Linked DNA regions of Tribolium castaneum. The protein of the gene in region 1 purifies or fractionates together with the protein of each later gene. This does not show direct contact. Links are inferred from orthologs where the notes say so. Each region holds a gene or a part of one and is shown on either strand. Other genes may lie near its edges. The genes, in order: cytochrome c oxidase subunit 5A, mitochondrial; Ccdc56.

The links.
Region 2: the proteins of cytochrome c oxidase subunit 5A, mitochondrial (region 1) and Ccdc56 purify together in Homo sapiens (affinity purification with western blotting; 3 studies listed by BioGRID and IntAct, with this or other methods). This does not show direct contact. The link is inferred for Tribolium castaneum from reciprocal best matches to the Homo sapiens genes COX5A and COA3.

The regions. Positions count from the first base shown.
Region 1 is NC_087403.1:1,168,161-1,171,153, forward strand, and holds cytochrome c oxidase subunit 5A, mitochondrial, read right to left. Parts: upstream 1,315-2,993; 5' UTR 1,220-1,314; coding exon 1,086-1,219; intron 999-1,085; coding exon 674-998; 3' UTR 609-673; downstream 1-608. Other genes in the region: Nrg (neuroglian), read left to right, coding at 2,348-2,379. UniProt on the Homo sapiens protein: Component of the cytochrome c oxidase, the last enzyme in the mitochondrial electron transport chain which drives oxidative phosphorylation.
Region 2 is NC_087394.1:32,882,741-32,885,188, reverse strand, and holds Ccdc56 (cytochrome c oxidase assembly factor 3, mitochondrial), read right to left. Parts: upstream 1,020-2,448; coding exon 759-1,019; downstream 1-758. Other genes in the region: mtTFB1 (dimethyladenosine transferase 1, mitochondrial), read right to left, coding at 1-756. UniProt on the Homo sapiens protein: Core component of the MITRAC (mitochondrial translation regulation assembly intermediate of cytochrome c oxidase complex) complex, that regulates cytochrome c oxidase assembly.

The DNA.
Region 1 (2,993 bases):
TTTGTCCATAAAATTTTCTAAAAAATTGTACATTACACCTACCAACTGGCCTTATGTTACTTATAAAAATGCCTTTGGTTCTACGCACTGTAACGAAATTTTAATGATCTTGGCCTGATCATTAATTTCAGTTGTAAATTTTACTAGAATTCTGTAAAACCAAATAAAGCTATGAATTATGTACTTCACGCGTTTTCATTCCTACAACCATCAGCAAGGCACCGTTGAGGTTCGTATTTGATCGGATTAAGTCGACAAACAACCAGCCAATCGAGTGTTAGCATTTGACGTCATCGACTAATTCGGTTTCTCTTCCGATGAAATTAAAGTTACTAACATCGCGCTCAAAATATTCGACTAAATTGACATTAATAAAATAAGATGTGCATTTACCTGAGGCTTTTGCCAAATATATAACCATAAATAAATCGATTGCACCTGTGAATAGTTTGACAGAACCACAAAACATGGCAGGCTGGATGATTACCAACGTAACGAACGCAATAGACAACTATCTGATTTGTATTTTTTAGTGATTTTAACGTTCTTTGGATATTTGAAAATGCCTTATGTAACGGAATCATCATTTCCAGGAGAAAATTACGAGATTTAACTTATATACTGTTTTATTATTTAATTAATAACACGATACATTGACTAACTAAGCAGACATCTAGTGAATGTCATAGACTGACTCCAGGGCCAATTCTGGCTTGTCATAGCCCAACTCCTCAGGCGTATCAATTCCAAGTTCAGAGAGAGTGGGCCTGATTTCCTGGATGATGTAGGGGTAGATCTCGTTGACTTTCCCTCCACATTTATCTTTCACAGCTTCAACAATCCTCACGGCAAGAGCATAGTCATTAACCCTGCGGCAAGCCTTCAAAGCCGCAATCAGGATTTTAGGTTCGGGGACCAAATCATGCCCACAAAGATCATTAATCCCTTGCCTGATTTCCCACCCATCAATGTCCTTCCTGTTGAAGAAGTTCTCGTACCTACAATACAACAATTACACAAGTTAGTTATTTTTTAAGGGTGCTTCACACGTTATACAAACAAAAATCGCAAATTACGTAATTTACCTCGTATCGAACTGTTCGTCTGTCTCTGTGCTGTGAGCGGACATGAACCGTGTTGTTGTGGCCACAGAGGGCTTTGAGACTTGCACAGCCCCTCTCACGAGGGAGGTTAAGCGGAGGGCTGTTGTACGGAACATGTTTTTTGGCAAAATTACAACAAAACCTCACGATGGCGATGAACACTCGGTGTGACAAGTGCCAATAAAGTGAACTACGGGGCTTTTAAACGCGCAAACGCGTTACGTAAATGCGTTTGAACTAATTTCAAAACTCGCGCCCTTTCGATACATCCAGAGTACGTGATTTTTTAAACAATGCGAGTTTAAAAATAGAAACGGAAGCTTATCATGCTATTTTATGCTCATTGAATCATTGGAAATTAAACAACAACAAGGAAAAATGTGTTAAGAAGGATGCAATGTGCTAATAGTGATGTGACATTGAAGTCACGTTTATAAAAATATCTATTTTGCAAGAAGCAACTGCATCATCTTTTCGAACTTAAAATAATTTGTATTAATAAATAATGACGTAATGGAGAAGGAATTTCTTCAATTTGGGTTCACTGGGGTCTCGGTGCAGCTGATGTGCGCTAGATGGCGCCGTTAAACACCACGCCTACCAACACGAAAGGTTTTCGTCCAAAATGAAATAAAAATGAATCATTTTCGTTGAAGTATAATGGACAGTCAAATCCTTCGTTTAGACATTTTTGCCATATGATTAGGTGACTGAAAATCCGGTGAAACTCGCAGATCTGAACCAGTGATAGTGAAAATAAGTGATTTGGTTAGTGAGTGTGACGACCGCCTAGACCGCACCTATCTCTGTTGTGTGTTTGTAGTGTAGTGATAAATCGTTATCATGGACAAATAACATAGATTTTGAAATAATCTGGTAAGTTTTTCTGTGTCTGTAATGAGCCTAGATAATAGGCTGTTATCGAGATAACAGAGATAACGACCTGTGCAAAAACAAAACACCAAGTTGCACCTTCGATACGTCGAGCTTTAATTTATGTCAAAAGTGAGAAAACGATCAACATTCAACGACTTGGAATGCATTGTTTTCCTCCCGAATATCGCTAATAATGAGTCACTTTCGATTGATTTTGGGGGTAATATCCCCCGAACCATTGTGTAATATCTAAATTTAGTTAACCTAATCTGAAAATAATTCTTTCGCAAGATCAAGTTGCCGGTGGTTTTTTGACATTTCCACAATTTGTCATTTCCGAAATGTAAATGAAGTCATCCTTATTTCAAATGCTTCGACATGTTATTGAAGTCTGTTTATCGTAAGTCCAATTCGGGTAACCTATTCTTAAATTTAATCAATGGATATAAATAGCTCAAATACTCAAGTAATTGCATTCGTAATTTATATTCATGTCATACTCATGATTTGAGTCGCGGACGACGCGTTAAATCCATCCCACATGTAATTATTGTCAAATTTCCTTGTCATTTGACACAAGACTGTGTTTACACAGTTCGCACCCTCCGTGCTCAAGGGGTTTCTGAAACCTTATATTTAGAAGAATTATTTGCTTTACTCTCGAAATGACTCACTCAGCTTTGATGATTCCACTCGCATCCCTTCCTCTCTAATTTGAATGAAAATTTACAAATTTATCCAAAGGAAGAACGGACGCACTTATTAATCAATCAAATTACTAGTGACGTAATCAAACCACTTGTTAAAAGAAAAGTGTGTAATTATTAGGGTAATTAGTACAAGGTGGCGCCGTTATTAGTGACATCACTGTTACTAAACCCACATTTTTTAATACGATAGTAAACTATCGCCACCATTTTTCGGTTTACTTGACATAAACGTCTTTATGACATGTTAAGTCCAACCATATGTAAAATTCGCATAAAAATAGCATAAAAGATGATTGACGTTTGT
Region 2 (2,448 bases), on another chromosome or scaffold:
ATTGAAGACAGTCCTGAGAATTTTCTCAACCGTTTTAAACGGTAACTTCACCAACGGATGCTTCTTAGGAACCAGTGTTACAACCCCGACATCAACATCCGGTTTGGGGACAAAAGCCCTCCCTGGAATAGTGAATTTGTGTTCCACATCGCACCAGAACTGGCACATTACAGAGAGTCTGCATCTCTGTTCATGAGTCACTGGAGCGACAATCCTTTCAGCAACTTCCTTCTGGAACGTCAAGGTCATGGTAGAGCGCCCAAAACTCCAAGCCGACCTTTGCTCCGAAATCGCATGTAACCACCGGATAATCAAATTCGTTGAAACGCTGAAGGGCAGATTGCCAATGAGGTGAATGGGGGGCGGGTAGTCCGTCCACTCGCGTGCAGGAGCGCCCGCAAAACCCTCCTCGAAATTAAAATCCCGGATATCCTGAATTTTAATCCCCATTTTGACGTGACTCTGACTCGCTTCTTGAAGCAACTCCAAGATGGGCACAAATCGGGGGTCCTTTTCCACCACGATGAGCTTCTTGGGGCACTTCCTGATGATGGACCGGGTTATACTGCCGGGCCCAGGGCCCACTTCACAAACATAATGATTCCGAATATTTCCAGCCGCTTTAACGATTTTGTCGGTGATTCTTTCGTCCAAAAGAAAGTTTTGCGATAGCTGACGTAACGCCCTTAACTTATACAACTTAATTAAGTCCCTCACTGTGGGCAAGGGGGGTAACCTAAGATTGGCCGCTGCCATTACTACTTTGCTGATTCTGTTACAGTGGTTGGGATTTCAAAATCGTCGAGGAAGTTTTCTTGTCGCACTGCCCAAATGGAATAGCCGTAAATGCCCAAGACTGCAGTTCCAAGGAGGCTAACAGTGATCAGGTTTTTGCGGCGAAGGGTTTGCAGTTTTCGGACACGGTCCAAATTCTGCTTTTCCACGAATTTTATGAAGTCGATATCGGTTTGTTTCAGTTTGGTGCGGTCAATTTTGGGCATGCGATCACTCTCTGACATCGTAAATATTAACTGTTTTGGGGATTTGTGCAAAAAAGTGCGGACATAACCTCGAAAGTTAATTAATGTCTTTTTTGGTCTGTGGTTAATGTCACGTCAATGGCACAGTATCAGAGCTACCAACACTAAACATTTTTCGCTCTTAACTGTTTTCGGACGAACGAGACTCGGCGTCAAATGCAATTCGGGCGAATTGTTTATTTGGTAAATATTGGAAAAAGCATAAAATGATGCATTTTTTAATGTTTTTAGTGTACAGCTGTGGAAAACAAGGCCCTAAGAGCATACCCTACAAGTTTGGAAGAAAACTACTATTGCGAACATTTTTCGGTTATAGAAAAATCCAAATTTAGAATATTTTACTCGGAATCGGTTTACACAGCACCAAAATAAGTTACAAATTCATTTACATGTAGCCCCACAATGCCGATTTTTTTTTCCGAATTTTTAGTGTATAAAAAATATTAATTTACAGATTACTGTAAACTACTGTTTCAGAGTACAACACACAGATCTTTTTCTAGGTTCCTGTAAAGTAATGTTTGGACACCTGATGGTAAGATGGCACCCAAAATTTTAAAATAAAAAATTGGAAATATAAAACTCGAATTAAAATTTAACAGAATGCAACATAGAAAACACGAAATATTTTCGTTCTTGGTGGAGACAGAAGGGTGGTTCTGCTCTTTTGGAATCCTACAATCCCGAAGGATTTTTTCTGCTCTTCTCATCTCCAACAAGAACGAAAAATCGCATTTTATTAAAAAAAATTAAATATTTTTTTTTAAATCCCAATACTTCTTTAATTCAACTTAAAAAATGGAGTAAAACCAGTCTGCGGTTGTCCGATGAGTGATGTGACTTCTACAAATATCCTTTTTATAAAAATAATAGGGATCATTCCATTCACAGGACTGCGCTGCACTGATGGGCCCCAAGAAGGGCGAAACCGGTCAGAAAAGTTGGAAGAATGGGATTGAAGAATCTATGTTTTTTGTTTCAGTTGAATGTTTCAATAAATATGTTAAAATTTCGAATTTTGTTTTATAACTTTCCCAATTTCTCTAACTTTTTAGAAAAAAGATTCGTATCAGGAAAAAAGTCAAAGACCCCTTTGCGTTCCTGTAATCCTGGTCCGAGCATTATTTTCAAGTTTTGCGAAATTTTAGAAATGGATTTCGTATCAGGATCACAGAAACACAAAGAAGTAAAAAAGTTCAAGATCTCTTCGCGTTCCTGTGATTCTGATACGAAATTCATTTTTAAAATTATGCAAAATTGTTTCATTTCACCTAAAATTTTGGTAAGTGAAAGAAAATTTAGGTGAAATTCAGCAAAATTTTAAAAATGGATTTCGTATCAGGATCATAGGAACGCAAAGAGGTCACGAAATTTTTAGCGCCGCTTGCATGCAACCAGTTATACACAT